Linked DNA regions of Arabidopsis thaliana. The protein of the gene in region 1 interacts with the protein of each later gene in a biochemical or structural test. Each region holds a gene or a part of one and is shown in the gene's direction. Other genes may lie near its edges.

Region 1 (10,842 bases):
TCATTGTCTTCTGTTCACTGTAGGCATTCAGAATATGTACAGATGAAATTGTGACCACTGAATGGTTACATTCTGTTCCTCGGATGATCATGGACAATGAAACTAGCATCCAAGAAGAATGCGAGAATGTCTTTCATGAATTAGTTCTGGAGAGAATATTACGAGCTGGAAATGTGCTTTCTCCAGACAGTGCTTCTCTCCCTAACAACCGGAACACTACTTCAAAAGATCTAGACAGAGACATTGAAGCCTTGTTTCCAGAAGGAGTTTTGGTTCTCTTAAGGGAGCTTTGCAACAGTGAGGTTTCTCCTTGGGTTACGAAAATATGTGGAAGTTTGGGAAAGAAGAAGCGACTAAAACCAAGAGTTGCCCTTGCGCTTCAGTGTATCATAAAGGAATCTGAATCACTGTGGTTGAGTCGTTCAATGCCAATAAATAGATGGACAGCTCCTGCTGGTGCTTGGTTCCTTCTATCAGAGGTTTCAGTTTATCTTTCAAAGTCTGTCGAATGGGAATTTCTTCACCATCATTGGCAGTTGCTTGACAAGAATGACGTACAAGGTTTGTCAGAATTCTGTTTATCCATCTATAAACATCTCAATCAACTGATTCATGTCTTTACTTGTTCCTACTGGTAGTGTGATTTTCTGGTTTTAGTCCTAACTTCTACCCTAATTAAACCAATTTTCATGAATGTATGTATGATAATTTGGCTATTTCTGAAGGGCTAGATGAACAAGGTGATGAACAGGGGGTCGAGTGTAATTCTTCTACATGGGCTGGCGATCGAGTTTGTCTTTTGCAAACAATCTCCAATGTTTCCCTTCAGCTGCCAGCAGAGCCTGCTGCAGATCTGGCTGACAATTTGCTGAAGAAAATCGAAAATTTTAACCTGCATTCTGCTGAGGTAATGATAAATATTTAACCTGATATCTTCTATATAAAATCAAGCTCATGTTTTGAAAGTACAGAAAGTTACTGGTTTTTGTCTAGAAGGATGTATTCTTTCAGATTTTGATATTTTTTTGGTACTTTTCTGTAACCTGAAACTTGAACGCTTGAATTGAGCAGATCATTATTCACTGGTTTGAAAATGGTTGCTTCGTATATGGTTCATCTATCTTCATGAACTTAGTCAATGCCATTGAATGACAGGTCGATGCACATGTCAAAGCATTAAAAACTTTGTGCAAAAAGAAGGCAAGCACCTCTGAGGAGGCCGATATGCTTGTCAAGAAGTGGGTAGAACAAGTTTCATTGAAAGCATCTAAGGTCACTGAGAAGTACATCGAGGGGGTTTCCAGTCATAATCATTCTTTTGTTACACCAGCAACACTCGGAAGTAGAAGAAGCAAGAGACTGGATACTGTGTCCAAGAAATTATCAAAAGCAGTCACAGCAGTATACACCATTGGATCTTGTGTCATTATATATCCTTCAGCTGACACGACCAAAATTGTTCCGTTCTTACATACTGTCATCACTTCAGGAAATTCAGACTCAAAGCTGAAAAACAAACTGCCGCAAGCTAATGTTTGCTTGAAGCAAAAAGCTCCTCTTCTCTATAGTCAGTCTTGGTTAACCATGGCGAAGATGTGTTTGGCTGACGGGAAGCTTGCTAAAAGATATCTCCCTCTCTTTGCACAGGTCTGTCTGCATTTGCTGATTCATGTGTCCATTTTATCATTTTGATTATTTCTGGAAAGGAAACTTTTCGTTCCAGGAACTTGATTCATTGGATGGTAGTCTCCTTTGTCTCTTCAATTTTTTTTAACCTATGTGAACCCGTTGATGCCTTACTCTTGCAGGAACTTGAAAAGAGTGATTGTGCAGCCTTGCGTAACAATCTTGTAGTAGCGATGACAGACTTTTGTGTTCACTATACAGCCATGATTGAGTGGTATTTCATTCACAGAACATTAATTTTTCAAATGTTAAACATGATTGCGACATTCTAATGGTTTGTTTACCTGGATAGTTACATACCGAAGATTACTAAACGTCTTCGGGATCCTTGTGAAGTTGTTAGAAGGCAAACCTTCATACTTCTCTCAAGGTTACTACAGGTATTGCTATTCTCCACAGATTCTTTATCTTCTGTTTTTAAAAAGTATTGAATTGACAATGAATAAGCAGGCTTGTTTTCTTGATTCAGAGAGACTACGTGAAATGGAGAGGAGTTCTCTTCCTTCGATTCCTTCTATCGCTAGTGGATGAATCTGAAAAGATACGTCGACTTGCAGACTTTTTATTTGGAAGCATCCTTAAAGGTATGAGAACTCACGTGAGCAACCATGAAATGCATTCTTTCATTCCCATGTTATTGAAAATTCTTACAGAGAGACATGATCTCTAGGATTTTTGATTATTGTTACGCCCCATGTTGCTTATAGTAAAGGCGCCACTTCTAGCTTACAACAGTTTCGTGGAAGCTATTTATGTCTTAAACGACTGCCATGCCCACACTGGCCATAGTAATCCAGATTCTAAACAATCAAGAACAAAGGATCAAGTTTTTTCTATCAGGTACTTGTGTTAAAGTTATATAGTCTATGCTCATACGCAAACTTGACATTTTGGTGTGAATGATCTTAGTGATTATCTTTGTTTCATTTGTTCTGTAGAGGGAATGATGAAAGGGCTAGGTCTAAAAGAATGCAGATCTACGTTACTTTGCTTAAACAAATGGCCCCAGAACACCTTTTGGCCACATTCGCCAAGTTATGTGCAGAGATCCTCGCAGCTGCTTCTGATGGAATGCTCAACATAGAAGATGTCACTGGTCAATCAGTTCTACAGGTAACTTCCAAAATGGCTACAGAGCCTTTTTTCTTCTTGTGATTGCCGATTTTTAACTCGTTTTGTCTCGGTGTAGGATGCGTTTCAGATCTTGGCGTGCAAAGAGATCCGTTTATCAGTTTCCAGAGGAGCATCGTCGGAGACAGCAGATATAGAGGAAGAAGGTGGAGATGCAGCAACTGCAAAAGGAAGGGCCATAACGCACGCTGTTAGAAAAGGTTTGATTCAGAACACGATTCCAATCTTCATTGAGCTCAAGAGGCTATTGGAGAGCAAGAACAGTCCTCTCACAGGTTCGCTCATGGACTGCCTCCGTGTCCTCCTCAAAGACTACAAGAACGAGATCGAAGAAATGCTTGTCGCTGACAAACAGCTTCAGAAAGAGCTTGTTTACGATATGCAGAAGCACGAGGCTGCAAAGGCAAGGTCCATGGCTAACCAAGGGGTTGCCTGCGGGACAAGTCATAGAAACGGTGAACCTGAAGCATCAGCAGCAAGCGAGGAGAATGTTAGAGATTCGGGATTGGAATCAAGAGTGGTTTCTGCGGCTGCTGATGTGGTGGCGGCTAAGGCAGCTAGGTCGGTGTTGAGAGAAGTGAACGGTGGAGCTGCAACGCCGCCTCTGAGCGCAATGAGTGTTCCGAAGCTAAGGTCGAGCCGTGGAGTTAGCCAGAGTGGTCGACCATCAGCTGATGTGTTGGAGTCTCTGAGAAGAAGACCAACTTTCATGTCTGATGATGAGAGTTAGAACTTAAAAATGAGACTGTAGAAAATAGCTTTTGCTGTAAATGCATGACTTCGATTTTTCTTTTTGGGAGATTAGATCGAGACTCTATTAAAGTCTAAATCGTATTTATAAACCGCATAAGACACTAAAACCTGGTGTGTGTGTGTGTGTGCGCGCATTTGTTTGCTTGCTCATGTTTGTCCTTGTGTGATAAATCCATCCCTGCCCTCAAATTGATTTATGTGTTGTATGTGTTGATTTTAGTGATAACATCTCAAAGTGATTAAATATTTTCAAAAATGCTATTTGATGTCTATAACGGCTTTAAAACTTTTGCAAGTTCATTAGAGCTATCTCTAGCACATATATGGCGCTTAGAGATGTTACGAATATGTAAGACTGATTACATATCTCTTTGGCTTAATAAATATAAGTATTTGTGTTGAACTCTTTATCTTCTTCTTGAAGATGTCTTATGGGAAACATGTTAAATGGATAGTAAATGAGAGATTCGAAAATATAGTGTGAGCTTCCTTCTTTGGTTTATGCATTCTCCATGTGGGGGGCAAGGTTTTTGAAGATTTATACTTTTGTGGCAAATCTCTTGTTTGAATACTCCATGGGAGTCTCTCATCAAAACTATGCTGCAAAATATTTGAAAATTTATAAATCTATTGTCTTTGAGAAAGTGTTACAAAATTTATGACCTCAATAATATTGCATGAAAACTTTCATACATCATTTGGTATATGTATGTTTAAGAAAAGGTAAAACCGTAATTATAAAGAGAAAGAAAATACAATATCTTAATACATATCAATCTAATTACTCATTAACCATATTAAGAAAATATGTGTCTTTATTTTTTCCTTTTAACATAAAGCTTAAAAAGAAGATTTGTAGCCAGAAAAATTAATTGTGTTCATTTCCCTTTTAAAAGAATTTTTCGGCGCAACAAAATCGTGAAATTGATATAAATAAACTCGAGATTATTAATATAACCCTTTTTCACTTCACTTCTCTTTCTCTCTAAACCCTAAAAGAAGAACGATGCCGGCTCCGACGACGGAGATCGAACCCATCGAAGCACAGTCACTGAAAAAGCTCAGTCTCAAATCCCTCAAACGATCACTTGAACTCTTCTCTCCCGTCCATGGCCAATTCCCTCCTCCTGACCCGGAAGCGTTAGTCTTCTTCGATCCCCAATTTTCGATTCGAATCTTCATTTTCTTCACTAAGTTTTTATGATTTCTTCGTTTTTTTTTTTTTTTTTTGCAGCAAGCAGATTCGTCTCAGCCATAAGGTAAAACATTGAGTCTCTCTTACCAGTCTTTAGAAATTTATTTCAGTTATTCGCTTTTAATGTCTATTGATTGGATTTTGGTTTAAAGCTTCGAACTTTAGGTTTATTCAGGTTTTTCCATAATTGTTCTAAATCTTCAGGTTTTGTTACCAATAATAGTAAAGATGGTTGATTTACTTAGACTCTCTCTCTCTCTCTGTTGTGTATGTTACTGATTTTAGAAGTTTTCTTTGTACAGATGAAAGTTGCGTTTGGAGGTGTAGAACCTGTTGTGAGTCAACCTCCACGTCAACCTGACCGCATCAATGAGCAGCCAGGACCTTCAAATGCTCTTTCCCTCGCAGGTGTTTTTCATATCACTATGTCTTGGTGAAAGATAAAAACTTGTTTCTTGTTTGCTATTTGCATTCTTATTTGTATTGGAAGGGATAAAATCATCTGCTTGATGAATTCTGCAGCTCCTGAAGGGTCTAAGAGTACGCAAAAGGGTGCGACAGAGAGTGCTATTGTTGTTGGTCCAACTTTACTGCGTCCAATACTGCCTAAAGGCTTGTAAGTGTTATCTTTTGTTGTTGGTTTCGTTGATCTGAATGCTAATTGATGGTTCTACTTTATCGTGAGGATGCTCATAAAAGAATTCGGTTCTCGAATTGAAGGAACTATACAGGTTCCTCAGGGAAGAGCACCACCATTATACCTGCAAATGTATCTTCATATCAAAGGTTTTTTTCTCGTCCTCATACTTGCTTTTCTTTATCTGGATTGCAATACATTAATGGCAGCTCTAGGTAGTGTAGGTAGTTCATGGGCATGCAAATTAGACTTCCCCCAATCTGAATTTTTTTGGTTTGTCCTTATAATGTAGCTTCTAATTCTGATTCCTTTTTTGTTGTTGCGTTCCTTTGCGTGTTACAGAAATCTGTCAACTGCTGCATTAATGGAGAGAATACCAAGTAGATGGCCCCGGCCAGAGTGGCATGCACCATGGAAGAATTACAGGGTAAAATCCGTGGCTCAGCATTGTTGCTGCATCATACGGATTTTGGTCTTTTGTTGGTCTCCAAAAAACTCTGGTTTGAGGAGTTACTTAACTTACGATTAATTATTCTTTTCACAGGTCATTCAGGGGCACTTGGGTTGGGTCAGATCTGTTGCGTTTGACCCGAGTAATGAATGGTTTTGTACTGGTTCAGCTGATCGTACCATCAAGGTAGCAGAGATGATTGCTTATTCAATATGAATTGTATTTTTTCGAATATGTTTTCTTGTTATACTTATAAGTCATGATACAAGACTTCCCTTCTATGGCTAGTTACTGGAGCTTAGTTTAGTGCATTGCCAAAAATCCACTACTTTGGCGATTGTAGAAGCAGTTCCGACTTTGGTATGTTTACTGAATTTATTACTTGTGTTTTATTCACTAGATATGGGATGTAGCAACTGGAGTTCTGAAGCTAACACTTACTGGGCATATCGAGCAAGTACGAGGTTAGCCTTTCAAATCTGTTCTCGTTTATTAATATTTGTTAGACTTTTCAATAAATAACACTCTCGGGACAAGTTACAAGTTTGGGCTCTTTTGTTTTGAATTTTGTTACAGGCCTCGCTGTAAGCAATCGACATACCTATATGTTCTCTGCTGGTGATGACAAGCAAGTCAAATGCTGGGACCTTGAGCAGAATAAGGTTACAACTCTATTCTCTTCATTATCTGGATTTCTCATATCTAATGCTCTTGGAATTTTTGATTTGATAGGTTATCCGATCTTATCATGGTCACTTGAGTGGTGTCTATTGCTTAGCTCTGCACCCAACTTTGGATGTTTTATTAACTGGGGGGCGAGACTCTGTCTGCAGGGTAAGGCAAAAATATTTATATCCATATTTATATATCTTCTCGTTTGAATTCTTGCACTTTGCTGGATTTGTAGTTTAAAAGTCCATGTTTACTTATTTGCAGGTGTGGGATATTCGTACCAAGATGCAAATTTTTGCACTCTCAGGACATGACAACACCGTTTGTTCTGTATTTACTCGTCCAACAGTAAGTCTCTTTTAATATGGACTTGTTGTTATGGTTTTTGGATTTCTTGCTGAATCTTTTTATAATAGTAACTGGAACTCACTTTGATCTGTGTTGTTGCAGGACCCACAAGTTGTCACCGGATCCCATGACACGACCATTAAATTTTGGGACCTTCGATATGGTATATCTTATCATTGTAACCATTGTTTGGACTTAAAATCCATATTATTTAAATCCTTCCTTATTTGATTATCAGTTGCTGCAAATATATGGTTTCATTTGAATAATGCTGTATTATTATTATATGCAGGAAAAACAATGTCAACGCTAACACATCATAAGAAATCTGTCCGAGCAATGACCCTCCATCCTAAAGAGTATGTGTAGTCGTACTGAATCTACTTTTGTGTATCGTGCTGAATCTACTTTATCTTTCCAATAGCGAAGTCTTTGCACCTAAACTTTTCCTTTATGTTATCTCTTTAATTTTCTTTTTAGGAATGCCTTTGCTTCTGCATCAGCTGACAACACCAAGAAATTTAGCCTTCCAAAGGGAGAGTTCTGCCACAACATGCTGTAAGTCTCTGCTAGATAATTATATACTTTGCATCTCCAGTGCTTTTGAAATAGGAGCTGTCATTATTAATTATGTAATTGATGTGTTTGAACAATGTTTATCTTTTTCCATGGAAAAGTTCGCAACAGAAAACCATAATTAATGCAATGGCTGTAAACGAGGATGGTGTGATGGTCACTGGAGGTATATAATCATTTCTGATTCCTTTCGTCCCTGTGATTGTTTTCCTTTGATAGTAAAATGGGTGAGACATAATCATTTTCAACTGAAACTGATTCTATATATGTGTGAATGAAGGTGATAATGGAAGTATATGGTTCTGGGACTGGAAGAGTGGTCACAGTTTCCAACAGTCAGAAACTATCGTACAGCCTGGTACGTACATTTATAGCTTTCATGGTCTTTTGCTCCTGATCTCCTTGTTATGGTAAGATGTAGAAGTCTCGGTATGTTCATACAACGTAGTCAAGTTTGAACCCTGGTAAAGACTCAAATGTTAGAAGTGTATGATACTATGATTGAGCTCTAGGGAAACCAAGAAAGTTGACGTAGGTTTATGGTTTATGTAAATGCCTATAGCGTCGTCTTACAAGCAAATAGTAAATGGGTCTTTAATTGGATGTGGTTGGGCATATGGCAGGTTCCCTGGAGAGTGAAGCGGGTATATATGCAGCGTGTTATGATAATACAGGTTCAAGATTGGTAACATGCGAGGCTGATAAGACGATAAAGATGTGGAAAGAAGATGAGAATGCAACTCCAGAAACTCATCCTATCAATTTCAAACCACCAAAGGAGATTAGGCGCTTCTAAATAACTTGTATCTGTAACTCAAAGCTCTTGTTGGAATCTCACTAATCTCTTCATGATTCTGTTTCCTAGATCAACTTTTGAGAGGGGACCTTTGTTTTGTGGTGGGGAGGAAACAAAAGGCCATGTACTTTATGTATTTTAAGGGCATTTGTAATTTTTTCTATCAACAATAATAGATCATGTATTGTTGTTTATGTTGAGAGAACTTTGTTACTTTTATCTCCCGTCTCTTGATTCTCTTCGTTAGTACTTATCGAAGATCTATCATGATTTCTGTGCAACCAAATCTGTGAAGTTTTGTAGGACGAATCTAAGTATTTGATCAACAACTTATATCTCTAGTCTCCACCACTGAAAGTTTTCAGCCTAAATTTTGGCTCGGGTTGTTTGGTTTATGAAGCTTTTATAGTGTAACTACACAGCTGATACGAAGAAACCAAGTGTAAAAACAAAACAGCTGATACGAAGAAACCAAGTGTAAAAACAAAAGAAAATATTGAAATAGTAAACAATTTGAATGGAAAAGATCCACTAAAAAGAGACGGTGATGGTGAGCTCGTTTGCGCGAAGACACCTGTGTGTTGGTTTTGCAATACGTAAGTGACACGTTCTAGTTATCATCATTCAGATCTCACCGACCTCTTCTGATCTTTTGTACCAAAGTATACTTGTTTATTCGCAGATCTTTTGTAGACTTTTCACCTTTTTAACTGCCAGTATCGTTTAGTGGAAGACGTACATTGGTTTTTACGTCTTCTATTTCTTTCAATTCAATCATCAAACTATCAAAGCATCAAACTATCATAGCTTTCTCACTAGTCACTTGTGGGTTTCTCGAAAACAGGCAAAAACATAAATAAAACCCCCCAAAAAAATGAATTAGCCATTTACTATTTTCACATTTCAGTTTTTAACCTTACTTTGGCAGTAAGTATGAGCAGTGGGTCCACAGTAAGGCCCATGAGCCCAAATTTCTCTGTCGTGGTCTATATAAGTGCGCCTAACCCAAACCCTAAAGTCTCTCGAAAAACCATCACCGGGGAATCTGACGGCGGCTTAGTACCGGCGGCTACTGCAAAAAGGATTGTGTTCTTCTTAGGCTTGATACTTGCCTTGGGAAGAATATAACAATCATTTTGCGGTAGCTAAAACGCTAAGCTCTATCGTCATATCTTTATCATTGATACTTATTTGATATCTAAATATCATAAAAATGGCCGCTCGTTCACTCTCCGGTGCCGTTAAATCTCTTTGCTCCGCCGCATCCGGAAGTCTGTCTTGTTCCATTGTCTTAAGGTACTTATGTTTGAACTGATCCCATTTTTTCAGGTTACAATATATAAACATTTACACACTCTTTCATTTGCTTAGATCGTATAAAGAATTTATAATTCTAATTGAATAATAGTTGATGGTTTGAATTTGAGTGAAGGCTAAAGATTGATCTATCATTAATAAACGTAATTAATTTACTTAGATCTATTAAAGATAATTATGCATGATATTATCACGTTATTTTCTACGTTTTCGTTATGTTATTTAGTCATTTGCTGTTTATATAATCTTACCTTCAAAATAAATTATTGGAATGTAGGAGGAGTTACGTTGCTACATCGCAGAATGTAACAGCAGCAGGATTGAGTAAGGGAGGTTCCACCAGAGTTATGGTGGGGAAGATGGAACAGAGAGGTTTAGATCAAGAGGCAGAGTCTGCTTGGGGACCAGATCCAGTTACTGGATACTACAGACCTTCCAATCGTGCGGCTGAGATTGATCCAGCTGAGCTCAGAGAGTTGCTTTTGAAAAACAAAGCAAAGTCTTTCTGAGAATTTTGATTGGTTGGTTGACTTGGTTCCAGTGGAAGGTTGTCGTAGGCGACTATTCTGATTATGTGTGTTTATGTTTGTCTTGTATCAACTATTAAGTAAAAATAAAGATCACATTAACTAGTTAAAAATATAATATCTGTTTGGATCGACTAACACAACATCTTTAGTATAACAGTGTCTTAAATGTTTTAAGAGATAAATGGGGATATACGAAAAATAGAAAACGTTGCTAATTATGACTAAATTATGATACTTAACAACGTCAACAACAACAAAACAAGATGATTTCACTATGGCATTATATTTTGTGACCACAATCTTATACTTGTTGTTGTTGTCAACATCAAATACAACAATAGAAAATGATGGTGCTTTTTCATACCCCATATAAAATTTTGTTGATTCTTCATGCCCATAGTTTTGTTGAGGCTGCTAATGGCCTAATAGTCTTAGAAAATGCAAACGGACTATTGAGGGTTGAGAATATGCTGTAATTCGGCCCACTTCTGGGCTAGTCGAGTGAATACGTAAGGATCAATCATCAATACTTGGTTGCCACAATAGATTATGAATCAGTGAAACTGTGAAGGGTTCAAGATCTTAGTATATATCATAACTAAATATTATCACTTTGTCCACTAAACTTAAAATGATAACATCGATTCTATGCTATAATGAGATACTGAGATCAACGTTTTGGCTGCTTTTCCTCCTTTGGTCTTAGCTAGTGGTGCTATTTTAAAACTTTTCAGTACTTTTTCGTTTTAG
Region 2 (10,021 bases), 8.1 Mb from region 1:
TCTGCTCATAGAACTTAGCAATGAACTCCTCTGCTCTCACATCCACCCCTTTCTCTTCTTCCGAACAAGATTCATCGTAACCGTACGATTGTACCTCGTCGGAATAATCTTGACCGTCCATTTCAAAGTCATAGTCAAAATCTACGGGAGGAGCAAAGCAGGGGAGGAGGAGGAACCTCATAGACGAAGTAGGACAATGCATCTTCTTCTTGACGTTAAATAACGGCGTTTCATCAAAGGAAAGCTGGCGTTCTCCGTAATAACGGTCACCGTTACTATGATGATGAGCTAGGGCTTTGAGATGCTTGAAGAACAAGCTACGTAGTTCGAACAATGGCCATTTTTTGAAAACTCCACCTTTTCTTCCCCATAGAAGAGCCATCTTCATGAGACTCCATGCTTTATGTGTTATCGCGTTTCTTCTGATTTTCTTCTGAGACGAATCCGCCATTGATGATTTATTATACTCTCGATTTTTGATCAGAGATGAGTTTTCTTTTTCCTTGATGATGAAGTTTTTGTTGTGTGTTGCTTATGGTTCATGAAATGATTGTGTGTGTATGTGTATTATATACACAAAGGTATGCAGCTTTTTGCTTGCTGTTTGCAATTTTGCCCAACGCGGAGTAACAAATAAAAATAAATTATCACATTTAACTCCAAAAATATATAATATCCTACGTGACTGACATTAATTATTTAATCCTTAATTAAAGTATTTCTTTGTATGAATTATTTTAAAAAGATAGTTTTATAGTTGATTTAAAAAGTAATAAAATTCCATAGACACTAATATCCGAATTTTTTTTAAACCTTACATGCTTCAATATGTATTATTAATTATGTATAATACATCATATAAATTTGTTTATCATAATTTTTCAAAAGAAAAAAATATTTGTTAATAATATTTTACGAAAAAATTACAAATAAGTTCATGTGGGTCACGGCTGGACGTGGACCATATCTTAGCTGTGTTTAGCCGTTTTGTTTCTCAATTACGCATTTTTCGATTTATTTCGTCTGTTGTGCTTTTTAATTTAAAAGTAAATACGTTCAACATCTTTAGTATTCTTTGTTGGTTTCACCTAATTATTAGTTTCACGTTTTCTGTCTCCAGATGTGTTACGTTTAGATATTGTTTATATATAAAAATTGTTATTGAAATATAAATGTTAATTACGTTACATAATGGTTTACCAAATTGTGTAAATGCTACAAGCCTACAACCAAGAAATAACAAAAGAGTTAAGAGAATTTATGACTGACTAGAAAGAGTTTAAATTGTTTTGTCTTTTACGAAATGCAATTATATTTTGAATAATATTATAAACGAATAGTTGCAACTCTATAATAATCTGGTAAGCTGGATCACTACTGAACTTGCGAAGGTAATTAATTTCTTAGAAGAAAACAAATACATAAATATTGTATGGAACTTTCATTATGATTAATTAAAGAAGGACTATAATTAAAAGTAATTAGAGGTCTAGTAAAAAAAACTTGGGAGATAAGGAAGGCTTGATTAGTTTAGTTGTGTGCCGTTGAATCATGTTGTTGCGGCTGTCTCCTTATTGTAGTTTCTAGTTTCCACGAAACCGTGTTCCATTTCCAGAGATACTGTAACGTGCGTTTTCTTTGTCGGATCTTAGAAATATACAGATTCATGTATCTTTTTTTTATATGTAAAATAGTAGATATTTGTTGTTTTATCGTTTCATTGATTTTGACAACGTCATTGTTTAGTTAGTCTTCTTTGGACCATATATAATATGAGATCTATTTTTTGTAATTCTTAATCTATTTTATTTATAATAAAATATTTATATTCTTAATTATATATATATATATATATATATAACCATTCTTTTTTACAAAGATTAATAACGATATTCTTTTGAAACAAGATTAACAACGATACCGACAAACAAAAAAAGAACAACAATGATGTTAAAAAAAAAACAATTTTCATATGTAAGTCTTTGCACCACCCAAGCCTTGTTTTATAAAACAAAATTTCTAAGCGCCGTTTTGACATGTATTTTATAAAAACATAATATAGTATTTTATGATGTTTATGATTGGTTAAATTTCCTTTATATCAGGTATTGTTTAATTTTCTATTATGAAATATAATCACTGAAACATGAGGAAAGAATAATTCTTAATCATCCGTTAGGGCAAAAAAACAAGCATTATTCAAGTGATCCATAAACAGGGAAAATCTCTTTTTCTTTTATTTCTATCCTGAGCTCATGAAACTAAAACTTTTATTCTATTAACTATAATAAGCAATATAAATATTTAGTTCAAGTGAGGCAAAATATTTGCATCACCAATTCTAAATTCATTTATATAAGTAATGTAAAATTTATGTACATCAACTATAACTGATGTTAATATTCAAATTAAGCGATGCAGACTATATTTATTTTTTAAGTGATAGTTCGTGTAAGTCGTGAATGAGCCTCGGAAGCTTGATGCAAATAAGCAAAGGTTTGTTATACGCTTCCGAACTATATCCACATTTAAAAGGTAAATAAAGGAAGCACCAACTTTTGAACCCAAAAATAAAATAAAGAAGGAAGCAATTACCAAAATAATTAGCTGTTCTTTAACTTCTTGTTCCCGTAACTAACGATTAACACAGGAAGAGCACGCTGTCTTTTCTAGTTATGACGTGAAATCTCTCTTAAGAGACAGCTTTTACTTCCACCATTAAACCCAAAACTCTTCATATCTTATAGTTTTCACCCAATACTTTAAAAATAGTGGTTGCATGTATTTATTTTCATAAGTATAAATAGACTTGGTTTGTATGCAAGAAACCTTGGGATCTTCTTTCAAAATCTTTCTTCCCTGCTCATCGCAGGGAAAAGTCTCCCCATCTTGAATATCCTTTTGATCACCATTAATTCTTATATATGGAAATTCAAAATCAGATTAATGGTGGCCAAGAAGAGATCAAGAATATGAAGAAGAAGAAACGATCACGTGGTTTTCACGTGATCGGTGTCGTTTTATACATGCTTCGGCGTCGGAGGAGGAGCAAGCCGCTTAATAACGGGTTTTGGCGGCGAGTTGTCGAGTCCTTTGGGCAGTTGAAAAACGACAATGTTACGGTACTTCCATCGTCGTCTAATATTACGATACTACCACCATCATCTTCTCCGGTGACGGATGAAGTTCCGGCGAGTAGTGACGATCAGGTATCGGAGATGGTTGAGGTTCTCACGGCGACGTCTAGTTCTTGCTCTTCGGGAATCTCGGGATATGGATCAGCAAAGTCGTTGCGAGATATGGATTGTCTTGATGAAGATGATGATGATGATGAAAATTATGGTAATGATGATGGAGGTGATGAGATGATTGATGCGAAAGCTGAGGAGTTTATTGTGAGATTTTATGAACAGATGAGGATGCAAAATCAGGCTTATACAGAACGTTACAAAGCTAAAGAGATGATGATGGTCTAAATCGCACATTGTAATTCTATTCACTGAAGCATAATGTCATATTACATGAGTATACATATATGCATGGAGACGTGCACAGAGTTTGTCTTTGATTATTTCGATGATTTTTTTTTTTCGTCTATTATTTCGATGATTTAAGTAATGATATATATATTGTATTCAGTTAGTCTTGATTGTATACTTTTATAGTAGACGATGAATTTGTACGCAAACTATATTAAAATATATTTATAAAACTGATGTCATTTTGGTTTACTATATATCATCTTCAAGTCATAATGCTAGAACCAAATTGCAGCTAGCTTCTTGTGAGTGATATAGTAGATGATGAATTTGTACGCAAATTATATACATGACTCTGAGCTTCTTTGGCAGTTTTCCTAGGGTGTCATATACATGACTCTGAGCTACAAGCCTTTGTTGTTGTCATATTTCAAGCAATTCGTTTTTTTCTTTTTTTTCTTTTGAACCAAAAACCCAATAATGAGTTAAGTAGAAGTTTATAATTCACTTATGGGTACAATCCAATATAATTTAGAATTTTCCTATTGGTTTGAGAATCCAATTTGCTTGAAGAGAAAATCAGAGACATGGAAGCTAAAGAAGAGAGATTAGAAGTTTATGATGTGGAGAGTAAATTGAATCGGTTGCAATTCGGTTTATTATACTAGATTTTTGGTTTGGCATTAGGTTTATGACGTTAACCTAATAATAAACTACAAAATTTGGTTTTGTGGAGACTAAATTCTCTAACTTTCGATTTAGGAGGATATAATAATTTACCTTCTATTTTGTGTTGACTGTAAACGAAGTTCTAAATCTGTGTAGTTGTGGTACTATGTGAAACTGCGTAGGGGAATAGAGGTCGTTCACTCAAGTTTATAAGATGGCACAAATAGAAAGAAATCAATTTAGTTGTTCTCTCATTTGAAAGGAATTCAAGCAATATGGTTGTTCTCGTCTTTCCAAGATGCATTGAATAGTAAAGCATCTAATTAGTAAAGTTCTCATAATGCTCAGTTGCTCACATTGATCTTTTTACCCCTTTTAATTAGAGTACAGTCTTGTAAATTACGTTGTTTTAGCCAAGTTTGGCCTATGTAATAATTTATTTGGGCTTTAAAAAGCCTCTTCAAATTAGAGTATTGCTGCTGCAGAAAAAGAAAAGAATATTTGCGTGGAGAAAATAAAGGAAAACAAATCCATAATTAGTAGTCGGTGTATACATACCTAAAAAGGCAGAGAGACGTTAAGATTCAAATTTCAAAAAAGAAAAAAAATATGAGTGGCAGGTTCGTTATTAATGATAAAACTTAGGGGCAATATTGGATTAACAACAAGTCTCCTGAATCGTGGCCTCCTAAGTACACGCTCTTGTATAAATACACTCGCATCAAACTCCAAAACCCTTATCACTCTCTCATTAATCGAACTTGGCGTGTTTAAATAATCTTCCGATCGTTAATTCTCTTCCGATTTCGATTCGATTTTAGCGGCGATGTCTCTCAGACCTAGCGCGAAGACGGAGGTGCGACGGAATCGGTACAAAGTAGCGGTCGATGCGGAGGAAGGACGGCGGAGGCGAGAGGATAACTTGGTTGAGATCAGGAAGAACAAGAGAGAGGAAAATTTGCAGAAGAAGAGATTTACGTCTTCTATGGCTTTTGGCTCAGCAACGGGACAAACGGAACAGGATCTTTCTTCAGCGAACCAAGTATGTGATTCTTTCTTTTGTTTACGATTCCACCTTTAGTTTTTTCTGATTTTATGTTCCGATTTGATCAATTAGATCGTCTCTGTTTCATATGAATTTCTAATTGGAGATCGATTTGTTCTAGATTTGAAGTTCTTGCGATGTTTCTTTGTTTTTGGTCATAGATTTTGTATTTGATTGCAAAAACTTGCGATGTGTATGTGTTGTTTGGTGAGAGTATTTGTTACTAATGTCTGTTTAATTGACTGGGAATTTGAGCGGTGTTGAATTTGACATGTAAAGAGAATTAGGGTTGATATCTCAACGGAGATCATCAAATTTACTTTAGCTAGAGGAGATTTTTGACTATGATAGTGTCTCTTCGTGTTACAGTTAAAAGATAATCTACCTGCTATGGTTGCTGGAATCTGGTCAGAGGATAGCAATTCACAATTGGAGGCAACAAATCTCTTGCGGAAACTGCTTTCTATTGGTTTGTGATTTATGTTATTGATCGTTACTAGTAGTACATAACAATCAGTGTTTTGGTTAGAGTCTTTAGCAGTTGTTTTTTCTTTTGTAGAACAAAATCCTCCTATCAATGAAGTTGTACAATCTGGTGTTGTTCCTCGTGTTGTGAAGTTTCTTTCCAGGGATGACTTCCCCAAACTTCAGGTGAGTCGCAGCTGCAGTCGTTTTTTTTTGGATATATTGATAGTTACTAGTTTGATGTATTTGTTAACTTGCTTTTGCTGTTTACTTCTGCAATGTGTTTTAGTTTGAGGCAGCTTGGGCGCTCACCAACATTGCTTCAGGGACATCAGAGAACACAAATGTCATCATTGAAAGTGGAGCTGTCCCGATATTCATCCAACTTCTCAGCTCTGCTAGTGAAGATGTCCGCGAACAGGTATATGTTTAAATCCTCACTGTTATCGTTATTGTCACAGAAGAAACACTTAGACATTAGGATCAAGTGGAAATTCATTGAGACTGTTACCATTCTGAGTTCTGGTCTTTCCCTGACTGAGTATAGGCTGTTTGGGCATTGGGAAATGTTGCTGGAGACTCACCAAAATGCCGGGATTTAGTCCTAAGTTACGGTGCCATGACACCTCTTCTGTCTCAATTCAATGAGAATACAAAGCTTTCAATGCTGAGAAATGCTACATGGACATTATCAAACTTCTGCAGAGGGAAGCCCCCACCCGCATTTGAACAGGTTTCCTTAAATATACACACTTTATTGAATCTCCACAATATTTTTTAACATGCTTCTGATATTTTGTTACTTAAAACATTTTTCGAGCAGACACAACCAGCTTTACCAGTTCTTGAGCGCCTTGTGCAATCAATGGATGAAGAAGTTCTCACAGATGCATGCTGGGCTCTGTCATACCTCTCGGATAATTCAAACGACAAAATACAAGCAGTCATTGAAGCAGGAGTTGTTCCTCGCCTCATCCAGCTCTTAGGGTAAGCATCTGATAGTGATCATTTTAATTTTTATTGCCAGGCATGATTATGTTATCTGATTTATGTGCTTCCTCTTTCTCCGTATAGTCATTCGTCGCCATCAGTGCTGATTCCTGCTCTTCGTACCATTGGAAATATTGTAACCGGGGATGATCTACAGACTCAGGTGCATATAATACATTCACCATTCGATTTCGAGTTTTCAGAAGCAAATGTCTCTAACTTATTTTCCTAACACAGATGGTTCTCGACCAGCAAGCGCTTCCTTGTCTTTTGAACCTTCTAAAAAACAATTACAAGAAGAGTATCAAGAAGGAAGCTTGCTGGACTATCTCCAACATTACAGCTGGAAATGCAGATCAGATACAAGTGAGTTTTGTTTATAATATATGGCATTTAACAAGAAAGTCGAAAATTGAAGTTTCCTGTGTCTGATTTTATTCGAACCCGTATGTGCAGGCAGTGATTGATGCAGGTATAATCCAGTCTCTTGTTTGGGTGCTTCAAAGTGCAGAGTTCGAAGTAAAAAAAGAAGCTGCTTGGGGAATATCAAATGCTACTTCTGGTGGCACTCATGATCAAATCAAGTAAAACCATAAAAACCGAAACGAAATGTTTCCTTAACAAAGAATGGTCATTTCTAAAACACGTCTGTGTTTATTGTTTGTTTCTTCTCAGGTTTATGGTGAGCCAAGGCTGTATCAAACCTCTATGCGATCTCCTTACTTGCCCAGATCTGAAAGTTGTAACGGTTTGCTTAGAAGCACTAGAGAACATTCTCGTGGTTGGAGAAGCAGAGAAGAACTTAGGTCACACAGGAGAAGACAACCTCTACGCTCAAATGATTGACGAAGCAGAAGGGTTAGAGAAGATTGAGAATCTTCAGAGTCACGACAACAATGATATCTACGACAAAGCCGTGAAGATCCTCGAAACATTTTGGACTGAAGACAATGAAGAAGAAGGCAACGACGAGAATCATGCTCCACAATCTGGTTTCCAGTTCGGAAGCACCAATGTTCCTCCTGGTCAATTCAACTTTATTTGAAAGGTAAAATAGTTGAATTGGGTCATAGAAGTTGCTTGGACTTTTAAGTAAGCCACATATCGAACGAAAGTGGTAACATCACAAAGATGAAATATCAATCTTCTCTATCTCTTCATGCCCACTCCTTAACTCGTGGACATGAACTATGAAGAAACATAGTACGATTTTCTTTTCTTTTTGGAAGTTTGTCTCAATAACTAAATCATTTGGGGAAGAGAAACAATTATTCTGTGTTAGCCATCATCTCGTCTTTCAACAAAGTTCCCTTTTTTCATATATTAGTGCCATTACAAAATCGTAGTTATGCCTTAACTAAACCAGAAACATTTTTATTCAATAGTTAATCATTTTTACTCGCAATTTTAGAAAACAGAGAAGCTAGAAATAGTAATATACGCTTGTGGAGGTTTGAGGCAACGGTCAAAACTTCAAGAGCAATATACGCATGTGGAGTTTTTATTGGGTACTTTGGTGTCTAATTACAAATAGGAGAGATTAGTGGTGATTAAGTGGTTATTATCATGGTCATAATTTCTATATGCGAGAAATTAGGGTTTAGGCTATGTGACTAATTCGTGTATTTAAAACACTCTCATTGTTTTATATCCAACAGACAACAAGAACAACAACATAGCCAGATATAATGCTGTCTTCACCAGCTTTTGCTGCAGCACGTTCTACTCTCGGTCGTCGTCTTCATGCGAAGAGACTATCTTCTTCTACTGGTCGAACCGCTGATCCAGAGATTCATGCCCGTAACGATGGAGACGAGCCTAGTCTTTTTCCATCAGACCCCGAGGTATATTTTGACTTTGTTGTTTATATATGTCAAGCTTAGCTGTCACAAGTCACAACTAAATTGTTTGTGATATGTTGTTATTGTTGATGTAGGGTTTGGATGATGTAGCGAACCCGAAGACTCCAGCGGATGAGGATGTACCGGATATTCGACCACCCGGTTTTGTAAAGGAACCGCTTTCTCCGCCAAAAAATCCCAGAGATACTTCACACAAGCTTGAATCTACTCCCGTTGGTCTACCTGCAGATCTCAATTTCCAACAGAAACGAAATTAATAGCAGCAAACGCCTTAGCCGTTATGGCCTTCTAGATCATTCAGAAATGCTTACTTTTGATTAGCTTTGAGAATAAAATTTAATTAAATACACTCTCTACTTTAACTTCTTCGGATTAAAGAAACTACTTTACTCTATATTTGAAATGTGTTGTGTCTTCGTACTTTTGAGTTTATGAGATTATGCACTAAAGATTTGATTCGAGCATAAATGATGAATTGACGATAAGACAGTTTTCACATGGTCCAAAAGGGTTTTGATTTTGTTCTTCACCAAGATTCCTTATATATGTTGTATTCATCCTTACAAGCTGTAAATTTTAAAGAGAATCACATTCCAAAGTTGATATTGATGAGATCTTAGAATAGTATAGAAAGAGAGCTTTTTTGGGTGCAACATAGAACCAAAAAAAAACATTTTAAGAAAATCACAAGACTTTTGTGCACTCTCTTCGTCCGCCTTTGAAAAACTAATTCTTCCATATACTTAACGCACATCCTCTTTGTGTTTTCACCCTGAACAGACTTGGGTAAAGCGTATGTGGGAACCTTGTGTATCCACTTTGGTGAGACTGTGGAGTGGTAGTTGTTGCGTTGGTGCTCATGGAGGTAGGACATTTATGTGGATGGCGTGAGATTGTTGAGGACGACGACGGGTGTTGTGAGTTAGTTGAAGTAAGAGGTCTTTGGTATCAGTTTGGTGAAACAGGGCGGCTCTCAAGTCACGATGAGCTAGTGCTTGTTGTTGTTGTTGGGTCCTCGTCTTCTGACATGAGAGAGTATTGTAATTAATGGAAAATCATCCCTGGACCCTGGTGTTACGTACGACACATGAATCAGATAGTTATATTGGAAAGTTGACAACCATATGCAACATCAAATACTCCACTCCAAAGTCTTAAATAGAAAGAGCAAAATATAAAGAGCATGCTTAAATCTTCTGGTATCAAATTGTTTCAAACATGATCAAAATCACTGCTTAAAGACGGCGTTTGGAGCAAAATCTTTTAAATGCGACAGTTACAAAGATAATAACGGTTGGCTACGCGGAAAACATACTTGCTCTTGTTGTTTTCTTTGCAGAACTAATGGTCTTTACTCAAGATCACATACATTTTTGCAACTTTACTCAAAACTAAGTGGTAAGAAAACTGTAAGAGTATAATTCAATTTGATGTGTCAATAATTCAATATAATATTGTCACATTTTAGTAGAGAATGAATCTATGTTGAGATATATCTATAAAAAAAAAGG
Region 3 (10,335 bases), on another chromosome or scaffold:
CGTTTTGCAGCCATTCCCTCTTACTGAACTCAAGTAACTGGAGAAGTAAAGAATATTGTGCATAGAAAAAGTTTTAGAGATTGTAATCCAAAAAGTACTACTATACTTAAGCTGTTTGATGAATCTACTGTGTAGAATCTCCTCTAGTTGAGTTTAGACAGATAAAAGCTTGGATTATAGAGATACAGATACTACATAGATTGTTATATTTTGTGAATCTTGTTGAATCTCTTTTGTTATCAAATTATGTTAGCCCTTTGGAACTGGGGTTTTCGAAAAACAATTTAATAAGTTCATAACAAAAACATTTGTGGTGATATAAGAATTTAGAGAAACAATTAGGAAAAACAATTTATCGATTTGTGTCACTTTTTACACTGGTTCCTACTCCAAGTAGGAACCGGAAATTTTTTTATTAATTTATAGAGGTTATTAATTTATAGAGTATTAATTTATAGAGGTTATACTGTATATACATTTTTTGAGGGGTAAAATGTCGTTTAATACATGAACTTTCAAAAAAGTGGTTATTAAATACGTGAATTTCGAATATGACTATTTAATACATGTAAAAATCGTTGACCGAGATTTTACACAAATTTAATCGTTTTTTTTTTGTCATCCGTTTTTAATTAGAGCTCAAAAGAGTCATTTATGTGGAACGTTGTTGACTTAATCGTTGACTAGGCCAAAATCCATTTGACGTTATCTGGCGTAACAGACTCGATAACAGCCGTTAACTAGTCTCCGTTAGTTCCCAATACGACATCGTTTTACCGTAACCAAAACGGGAAATATGTCATTCAATACTCTAATTTTCAAATTATGACCGTTTTATACATCAACTTCACATGTAGTCATTTTATACATACCGCTATTTAACAAAACTTGTAGAAAAAGGATGTCATTGAATAGAAAAACCTCTAACTCTACCCCAGAATCTGAAAATTTATTTACCTCTTCACTAGCTATCTTCATAAGTAGCTTGCTTTATCGAGTTCAAAATATAATAACACAAATCACATAAAGTTTAAATAATTGATCGAATGATTTTAAGAGCTAATTAGTTAGACTATAAATTGGTGCTTTGAGATTTCGAACAGAAAAACCAAAGTCGAGCTTATTATATAGCTGGTAAGAACTTTGAACAACATTCTAAATCCCCTATATATTAATTGAGAAATACTTTTTAGAAATAACCTTATTTTCATGTGTAATTAAAGAAAATGTCATGCTAACATGTCGTTCTCACATAGCTTCTCAATCCATTTAATTATACACCTAACATTTATTAGAATATTTACAGATTTGCATTAGTTTACTTATATATATATTTTTCAAATTAATTTATGATTTTTCTACTCAATTATTCAAATGAAATTTCAATCAAAATATGCAATTAAGAGATACAAATCTATACAAGATAAAGTATATAGAAATATGCAATTAAGACATACAAACCTACATATATTAGAGCGAGACCGACCCGGTCCATAAAACTTCTAATCCTATATTTTAAAGCCCAATTTGACCATAATAGGGCTACATGACTTTTCCGGGCTTTTTATTTCGAATAAACAAACTTATAATTTATAATATCTCTGAAAAAGAAAGAACATATGTATGACATGAGTCAATCAAAATTTAAATAACCACTAAAACTAAGTTAATTTAAAATAAAAGTTTTGTTGAACCAAAAAAAAAGGAAAGAAAAAGTTTAAAAACAAAGAAATAATCCAATAAATTGTTTAAACTTATACTAAATAAAAATATAAAATCAGAATACTTCAAAGATGTAAGGCACAATTAGAAAACTAGATTTAGGTTTTTCAATTCAAATTTTTTTGTAAAACAATTTTCATATTAACAAAAATATTTAACAAAACAAATATCAAAATATTTATGTAGGACTTTTTGTCCGATCCGATCCTAGCCGGACTAAGCTCCAAAAACATTTAGTCTAAAAGAGCAAATTTTTCAAGACATATATATATTTAACCCGAATTCGCTGTTTTTAGAGTAAGGCCAGGCCAGCATACGAGCATTATCTCTAGTTGACATGCCTAACTATTAGGCTCAACTTTCCACATACATTTATAAAACACTAGTGTTCTAAAATACGGCTTATACGGTGTATCTATACTGTACAGTTGGAAGCAGTACTGTATTATGGTTATACAGTTGTTAAATACAATGAAAGCTATATACGAGTATATACAATGAATTCTGTGTAAAAGGTGTATTAAAAAAAATGCTCAAAAACAAAAACTATGGTATTTTATTGGCAGGAAATTTATTTGGAATATTTTAGGCAAAAAACAATTTCCAAATAAGGGTAAAATAGTCATTAAAAATTTACTGAAAGTAGAAATGAAAATGTCAAATATGAAAGGGTATAACTGAAAAAGGTAGTGTGAAAAGGGCATTCTCAGCAATTATTCTACATTTGAACTATCTATTTTATCTTAATAAACTGTTTTAATTCTATAGACTACATCCATCTTATTGATGATATTTAAATTTTAAATAATAATTCATATACTTTTCAGTATTTAATTTAGTATTTCCTTAAACCAAATTTCAATCTTACATATTCAATTTTGCAATACAATTTAAATATCTATTTTATTATATAAAAATACAATTTAATTCGATTCCATACAATTCATATACAATTTGATTTTGCAATACAAATACAATTTTATTCTATACACTCCATCTTATTGTGTTAGTTTTCCTTCTTAGTTAAGAAAATTTTAAGTTAAATTTTTCGATATAGAAATATAAATTGGTATATGTATTTGTTTTTGTTAAATTTCCTATTTCTTTTAGAAAAAATATTTAAAAAATCTCGATTTTGCAATACAATTTAAATATCTATTTTATTATATAAAAATACAATTTAATTCGATTCCATACAATTCATATACAATTTGATTTTGCAATACAAATATAATTTTATTCTATACACTCCATCTTATTGTGTTAGTTTTCCTTCTTAGTTAAGAAAATTTTAAGTTAAATTTTTTAGATATAGAAATATAAATTGGTGTATGTATTTTTATTGGTTAAATTTCCTATTTCTTTTAGAAAAAATATTTAAAAAATCTCGATTATGCAATACAATTTAAATATCTATTTTATTATAATACAAATACAATTAAATTTGATTGTATACATTTCAAATACAATTCGATTTTGCAATACAAATACAATTTAATTCTATACACTCCATCTTATTGTTAGTTTCCCTTCTTAGTTAAGTAAACTATAACTTATTTTTTTTAGATATAGACATATAAATTAGTATATGTAAATATTTGTTTTTGTTAAATTGCCTATTTCTTTTAGGAAAAAAGTAAAAAAAAATCCGACACAATATCAACATATGAACGATTGACTTGTTACGTGTCACGATCAGTTGAGTTATTAACTTTAAAAACTCTACTTTATATAATAAAATGCGTCTGAAACTTCTTAATTTATCCGCTTTATCATTAGCACGCTTTTATATATAGAAAACTAGATTTTAACCCGCGGTATACCGCGGAGACAATTTATTTTTTAAAGTTACTATATATAAAAATTTGCAAATTATATTTATCTATAAAATATTTTTATTTTATAGTTTACGATTGTTATTAAGTAACGTCCTGTCAAACCCGTCCCGCCAATCCGTCCCGTAAAAAAAATTCACTGATTTTATTTATGATATGTTTATGAATCATTGTCTAAATATTTTTTAATTTTGTAGTAATTAAATGCTATCTAATATCTCTGCGGTTTGATGATTATAATCGAATTATTATAGTCATGTAGAAAAACAATATCAAAAATGATAATTTTGTAGTAATTAAATGATATTAAATATTTCGGAAGTTTTATTTTAGTAACTAATCGTGTAGTTAATGTGGAAAGATTTTGGGAAGATTGTCAAATATTTAATTTAAAGATTTTCTTTCTAATTATCAAAAACAATTATTAAATGCGAGTGGCAGCCACTGTAAATAAACTCCAACTCTAGGATTTATTTCACAAAGTGGCTGCAAAAATGTATATATAGATCATAAAAACAGTAATATAAAAATTTTAAACCTTAAAAAACTAGTTTTTCAAACAAAAACAGAAAATGGGCAAAAAGGCCCTAATTTAAGGGCTTGCAAATGGCAATAAATGTTTATCTGGGTTTTGTGGTTTCTTGATTCGTCATTACCAATTTTCACCATGAAGACTTAAAAAAACCTGACTCAGCTCTGCGTCACCTACGAGTTGGAAATCTGACTTCCCCAAGAATTTCTTCAGATTACATCGTAATTTACAATTCTGCCCTATTTATACCCATCAATCTGATTCTCCTTGTTTCTGTATATTTCTTCGCTCTTTGTTTGAACAATTTATCTGGGTTTTTGATTCTCGGATCTACTCCAAGACGGTTTTCGAAATTAACAAGCTTTTCAGGTAAATTGACTTTTTTTTCTTTGTAAAGGTTTATCAATTTTGTCTTCTAAACTCAAACTTGTGAGTCTCTTGTTTGGTTTCAGACCAAAACCACCATTACAAAGTAGTTATGTCGGTGGTTCTTGTCAGTTTTCTTACAAGCTTATGGTTGGTTTAGATTAGATTTGATGAAATGAAAATTGAGTTGAAGAATGTTTTTTTTTATTTGAGCAAGTTAATATGTTTACTGATGTTTTTCTATAGAGAAGTTGCTAAGAGAGCTTACTTATGAGTTTGATGTTGAATTGGGACACAGGAAATGGATCATTCATCAAATAGATTTGGCAATAATGGAGTGGAATCGATTTTACCGAATTACAAGCTTGGTAAAACTCTTGGAATTGGGTCTTTTGGGAAGGTGAAAATAGCAGAGCATGTTGTCACAGGGCATAAGGTTGCTATCAAAATCCTTAATCGTCGTAAGATCAAGAACATGGAGATGGAAGAGAAAGGTATATACAAGCACCGTTACTTTTAGCTTTAGTGGTTTCTAGAACAAAAGCTTTGATAATCAAATGTTTCTGCTTATTAGGTTTTAGTATGTATTTTTATCTTAATGTATGTATATTTCTTCTTTACAGTGAGGAGGGAGATTAAGATTCTACGGTTGTTTATGCATCCTCATATTATTCGGCAGTATGAGGTAATAGAGACCACGAGTGACATTTATGTTGTGATGGAGTATGTCAAGTCTGGAGAGCTCTTTGATTATATTGTTGAGAAAGGCAGATTACAAGAAGATGAGGCTCGTAACTTTTTCCAGCAGGTTTGTTTTCTCTTTACCATAACCAGTGTGTTTGTAGCGTATCATGTCATCTTTGAGTTTGAGTGTTGTTTGTGTTTGACTCATATCCGAATAGATAATATCTGGTGTAGAGTACTGCCATCGTAATATGGTTGTCCATAGAGACCTGAAGCCTGAGAATTTACTATTGGATTCGAGGTGTAATATTAAGATTGCAGACTTTGGGTTGAGTAATGTTATGCGGGATGGTCATTTTCTAAAGACGAGTTGTGGAAGCCCCAACTACGCTGCTCCCGAGGTATATAGTTTAGTAAAGTTACTGAATTGTTTTTCACCTATGTGACTATGTCTCGTTTCTCTTATGAGTGTCTTATCTCTTACTTCTTGTTGTAGGTTATATCAGGTAAATTATATGCTGGACCTGAAGTAGATGTATGGAGTTGCGGAGTTATATTGTACGCTCTATTATGCGGTACTCTTCCTTTTGATGATGAAAACATTCCCAACCTTTTCAAGAAAATTAAGGTACTGTACGTTATACTTTGATTCAGCTAAAAGACTCTTCTTAAATGGATTCATATGTATGTGAAGTAACTTATCAAGGTGTTTTTTTTCTCTTTAGGGTGGGATTTACACTCTTCCAAGTCATTTATCATCTGAGGCTAGAGACCTGATCCCAAGGATGCTTATAGTTGACCCGGTGAAACGAATCACCATTCCTGAGATCCGTCAACACCGTTGGTTCCAGACTCATCTCCCTCGTTATCTTGCTGTCTCTCCACCGGATACAGTAGAGCAGGCTAAAAAGGTTGGTTTCAGTGCCATTTGGAGATTAATAGAGTTCACTTGCTGTGATAGTAACAATATCTCTTATGTTTTGCAGATCAATGAGGAGATAGTTCAAGAAGTGGTTAACATGGGATTTGATAGAAACCAGGTTTTGGAATCTCTACGCAACAGAACACAAAACGATGTATGTAGTTTCCTGTCTCTAATGCTTTTAATCCCCGAAACTAGTTTCCAATAGTCACTGAAATGCCATTTGCTCCTTGTACCAGGCTACTGTTACATACTACCTGTTATTGGATAACCGGTTCCGTGTTCCAAGTGGCTATCTAGAATCCGAGTTTCAGGAGACAACAGTATGTGTTTTTCTTTCCTCTCAGTAGATAGCTTTCCAACATTTTTGACTAACATGTTCACCTTTTCAACGTTACTCATCTAGGACAGTGGTTCCAATCCTATGCGCACACCTGAAGCGGGCGCTTCACCTGTAGGCCACTGGATTCCTGCACATGTGGATCACTACGGGTTGGGAGCAAGATCACAAGTCCCTGTTGATCGAAAATGGGCTCTTGGACTTCAGGTTTGTTCCTGATTACTGATTCTTTTTGTTCCTCACCATAAAGTCTTCTGAATGCAACACACAATCAGATATCTGTACTCTTTGCCTCTACATAGCCAAATCGATAATCATTCTGTTACCTTGTTGTTTTGAACAGTCTCATGCGCATCCTCGTGAAATCATGAATGAAGTTTTGAAAGCTCTTCAAGAACTCAATGTGTGTTGGAAGAAGATTGGTCACTACAACATGAAATGTCGATGGGTTCCTGGTTTAGCTGATGGTCAGAATACTATGGTCAACAATCAGCTGCACTTCAGAGATGAATCCAGCATCATTGAGGATGACTGTGCCATGACTTCACCCACTGTCATCAAATTTGAACTTCAGGTAACTATAAACTCACACATACATTTGTATCAACAACATTCCTTGGAGAAAATAAACAACTGCCTAGTTCGGTTTGTTAGGGATATGAATCGATCAACGGGGTTTACATTCGTAGAATTGTGCTGGAGCAAAGACTAAGATCCTGATGTTGTTTTATCCCACTAGTAGTAGTTCAACAAAACTAAACCAGCTAGGACATAGACTAAAACCTTCTTTAGAACTTGAACCAACTGTTTTCGAAGAACAATTATACACTTTCTGAGTTCACTTTTGATTTTGAAACAGCTATACAAAGCCCGGGAAGAGAAGTACTTGCTGGATATACAGAGAGTTAACGGTCCGCAGTTTCTCTTCTTGGATCTATGCGCCGCCTTTCTTACAGAGCTTCGTGTGATCTGAATGTTTTAACCATTTGTTGAGACATTTTTTTTCTTTCATGTTCAATGGTTTGTAATAGTAGAGAACATAATATAATATGTGGGTGCAGTGTTTACTTTGCCGGGTTACTTTTATATACCTGGATTCTAAGTTAAACTCTACTGTAATAGTAACTATCCTTTCTTCTTTTTGATGGTTTTTAAGGTTTGATCATGTGTACATAACTTAGCTGTTTCATTCTAACTATTGTATTTCTCCTCTGATGCCAATTTTATACAACGTTTATATCAGACACATTATACATGTCATACCTAAAAACATTGCACGCAGAGTCCATCAAAATTCCATTTCACAAAATTCGGCTACCCAACTTAAGTCCTTAGCATCAATACAAGATGTGGAACACGATATTAATACAGAACATTGGAGAGCTACTTTGTGTGGACAATGCTTCTTGCAAAAGGAGTAAATAGGTCGCCGTCGGACAATAATATATCGGGCTTCAAGGATAAGTCCACCCCAAACATACATTGAATGTGTAGGGTAACACTACAGTACTCATCACACATAAAACCGCTCCTTCGGATTTATTTTGCTGATTTTTCATCATCAGTCGGTTCGGACCGCAAACTTCACACCAATACATCGTTGTACTTATCTCATCCCCATAAGAAAGAGTGAACATATGTTTATCATGCTTATACATTACCTTATGAGGTAATGTAGCACATTTGAAACACAAAGAAAAGTAGTCACACTCAATGCAATTGAATGTTTCCTTTCTGGAATAATGTCCTAGCTCTTTGCAAACTGAAAAATGTCTTCGCTTCTCTCCCGGTTTGGTTGTTAGGAATAAAGGATGCAAATGACTTGGATGGACTAGTGGCTCAGAAATCTTGGCGCATTGCATGTGTAGCAGAAAACAACATCATTCTTTACTACATTCATAGAAGAAACCAGCTTTACACAACCAAGGACAAGCAAAACATGTATCCTTATGATAGTCCATAACACCGTCATAAATTTCTGCCACCTTCGCAGAAAAAGTGTGTATAGCCTTCTTCTCCTGGTTGCCTAAATTTCTGCCAATTTAAGGAAAAACACTTCCACTTGTTATTCGTGGGCCGCAAGACTTCTCCAATCACATGGATTATTCCTTCTTTAAAAGTTACTTGTGCTTGAGGGCAAACTGAAATAAGTTTCTTCAACTTTGAATTTTTGAGATGACGAGGGAGAATATATTGGGCCTATGGGCTTAGTCGGTTTTGATATTTAGAATAGGTTAACTTTATGCTCAAGTTGTAACCTATATATAAACCAAGCAATGTAACCTAAAACCCTAAGAGATTCAGTTTATACAAACAAGAGTTTCTTGACATGGTATCAGAGCAAAACCTAAACTACTCAAGGGTTTGTTCGATTCTATGATCTAAACTTCCGCTAAAACAACTCTGTTTCTTATTTTCTGTTTTTTAAAACTATCTCACAAAGGAGAAAATCATGGCCACGAATTCTGCTACGTCGTCGGCTCTGATAACCTCCACCACCAATCGCCGTACAATATCTCCATACGATTTAACTTCCGGTGAGAACCCCGGAACCGTGATCTCCAAGCCTTTGTTGCGTGGTCCAAACTACGACGAATGGGCCAACAACATATGCTTGGCTTTGAAAGCTAGAAAGAAGTTCGGTTTTGTCGACGGTTCTATACCTCAACCACCAGACGACGATCCCGACTTTGAAGACTGGATTGCTAACAACGCGCTTCTTGTCTCTTGGATCAAACTCACGATTGAAGAAAAGCTCTCTTCGTCCCTATCTCACATCAATGACTCTCATGAACTCTGGACTCATATTCAAAAGAGATTTGGAGTGAAAAACGGCCAGAGAGTTCAAAGATTGAAAACTGAATTGGCAAATTGCAGACAAAGAGGTCTTGCTATCGAAGCATATTACGGCAAACTAACTCAGCTGTGGGGGAGTCTTGCCGATTACCAAAACGCAAAAACAATGGAGGAGGTTCGAAAAGAGCGAGAAGAGGACAAATTGCATCAGTTTTTAATGGGTCTAGATGATACCATCTACGGAGCCGTTAAATCAAATTTGCTTTCACGTGTTCCTTTACCAAGCCTAGAAGACGCTTACAACGCTTTAACTCTGGACGAGGAATCCAAAAATCTAAGTCGCACTCATGAAGAAAGATCAGATGGCGTCAGTTTTGCTGTTCAAACCAATTCTTCTAGGAATTTTTCTGACAACAGAGGAAGCTCTGTTTCATGTACCATCTGTGGACGCACCGATCACATTGCCGACAACTGCTTCAAGAAAATAGGCTATCTAGATTGGTGGGAGCACAATCCGAAGTCAAATTCCAGAAATAAAAATGGAAACAATTCAAATAAGGGAAATTCAACTTCGGGTGGTGTTGGCCGTGGAACAACAACCTCTTCGGTGGGCTCAATGACGGGCAAAAGCTTCGGGACTGGTCAAGTTAATCATGAAACCACTTCAAACCAGAATCAGTTGCAAAGTTTTGGTGTCAACACAGCCTTATCTGCGTCAACGTCCTCTCTCACATCCGCAGATCGCGTCGGGATAATTGGTTTGAGTAACGACGAATGGGACTCACTAGTGCAAACACTTGCAAACAGGAAACTCAACTCAAAAGAAAAATCAGGTATATCTTTTCTTGAGTCATGGATTATTGATACAGGAGCTTCTAATCACATGACAGGCACTCTTGAATTTTTAATCGATGTTCGCGATATGGCTCCTGTACTCATCAAACTTCCAGATGGCCGTTTCACCATGGCTACTAAACAGGGTCGAGTTGTTTTTGGTTCTGCGCTGTGTATTCAAGATGTGTTTTTTGTTGATGGGCTGCAATGTCACCTTATTTCAGTATCACAGTTAACTAGAGAACGTAGTTGTGTATTTCAGATTACTGATCGGCTATGTCTCATTCAGGACCGCATCACCAAG

What was found.
Region 2: the proteins of PRL1 (region 1) and MOS6 form a complex in vitro, tested with the Arabidopsis thaliana proteins (one study listed by BioGRID).
Region 3: the proteins of PRL1 (region 1) and KIN11 form a complex in vitro, tested with the Arabidopsis thaliana proteins (one study listed by BioGRID).

What each region holds. Positions count from the first base shown.
Region 1 is NC_003075.7:9,019,199-9,030,040, forward strand, and holds PRL1 (pleiotropic regulatory locus 1), read left to right. Parts: upstream 1-4,467; 5' UTR 4,468-4,576; coding exon 4,577-4,710; intron 4,711-4,804; coding exon 4,805-4,829; intron 4,830-5,067; coding exon 5,068-5,173; intron 5,174-5,287; coding exon 5,288-5,381; intron 5,382-5,485; coding exon 5,486-5,551; intron 5,552-5,744; coding exon 5,745-5,829; intron 5,830-5,946; coding exon 5,947-6,039; intron 6,040-6,253; coding exon 6,254-6,317; intron 6,318-6,429; coding exon 6,430-6,515; intron 6,516-6,585; coding exon 6,586-6,687; intron 6,688-6,789; coding exon 6,790-6,873; intron 6,874-6,975; coding exon 6,976-7,036; intron 7,037-7,165; coding exon 7,166-7,232; intron 7,233-7,353; coding exon 7,354-7,431; intron 7,432-7,550; coding exon 7,551-7,615; intron 7,616-7,729; coding exon 7,730-7,807; intron 7,808-8,072; coding exon 8,073-8,245; 3' UTR 8,246-8,610; downstream 8,611-10,842. Other genes in the region: AT4G15890 (binding protein), read left to right, coding at 24-561, 726-907, 1,156-1,647, 1,809-1,900, 1,979-2,066, 2,156-2,270, 2,394-2,526, 2,625-2,799 and 1 more; DI21 (drought-induced 21), read left to right, coding at 9,459-9,541, 9,840-10,071. UniProt on the Arabidopsis thaliana protein: Pleiotropic regulator of glucose, stress and hormone responses. Also regulates cytochrome P450 CYP90A1/CPD.
Region 2 is NC_003075.7:948,556-958,576, reverse strand, and holds MOS6 (ARM repeat superfamily protein), read left to right. Parts: upstream 1-4,886; 5' UTR 4,887-4,974; coding exon 4,975-5,190; intron 5,191-5,562; coding exon 5,563-5,662; intron 5,663-5,752; coding exon 5,753-5,844; intron 5,845-5,947; coding exon 5,948-6,079; intron 6,080-6,205; coding exon 6,206-6,391; intron 6,392-6,481; coding exon 6,482-6,645; intron 6,646-6,732; coding exon 6,733-6,811; intron 6,812-6,885; coding exon 6,886-7,014; intron 7,015-7,104; coding exon 7,105-7,232; coding exon of another isoform or gene 7,233-7,236; exon of another isoform or gene 7,237-7,323; coding exon 7,324-7,693; 3' UTR 7,694-8,031; downstream 8,032-10,021. Other genes in the region: AT4G02170 (cotton fiber protein), read right to left, coding at 1-451; AT4G02160 (cotton fiber protein), read left to right, coding at 2,925-3,476; AT4G02140 (uncharacterized protein), read left to right, coding at 8,337-8,492, 8,585-8,767. UniProt on the Arabidopsis thaliana protein: Binds to conventional NLS motifs and mediates nuclear protein import across the nuclear envelope. Acts as a cellular receptor for the nuclear import of the virD2 protein of Agrobacterium, but is not essential for Agrobacterium-mediated root transformation.
Region 3 is NC_003074.8:11,125,932-11,136,266, reverse strand, and holds KIN11 (SNF1 kinase homolog 11), read left to right. Parts: upstream 1-4,161; 5' UTR 4,162-4,310; exon of another isoform or gene 4,311-4,458; intron 4,459-4,753; 5' UTR 4,754-4,756; coding exon 4,757-4,949; intron 4,950-5,078; coding exon 5,079-5,263; intron 5,264-5,357; coding exon 5,358-5,540; intron 5,541-5,635; coding exon 5,636-5,767; intron 5,768-5,864; coding exon 5,865-6,050; intron 6,051-6,125; coding exon 6,126-6,215; intron 6,216-6,300; coding exon 6,301-6,384; intron 6,385-6,467; coding exon 6,468-6,608; intron 6,609-6,744; coding exon 6,745-6,975; intron 6,976-7,260; coding exon 7,261-7,374; 3' UTR 7,375-7,647; downstream 7,648-10,335. Other genes in the region: AT3G29170 (transmembrane protein (DUF872)), read left to right, coding at 1-27. UniProt on the Arabidopsis thaliana protein: Catalytic subunit of the probable trimeric SNF1-related protein kinase (SnRK) complex, a central regulator of cellular energy homeostasis, which, in response to seemingly unrelated darkness, sugar and stress conditions, activates energy-producing pathways and inhibits energy-consuming processes.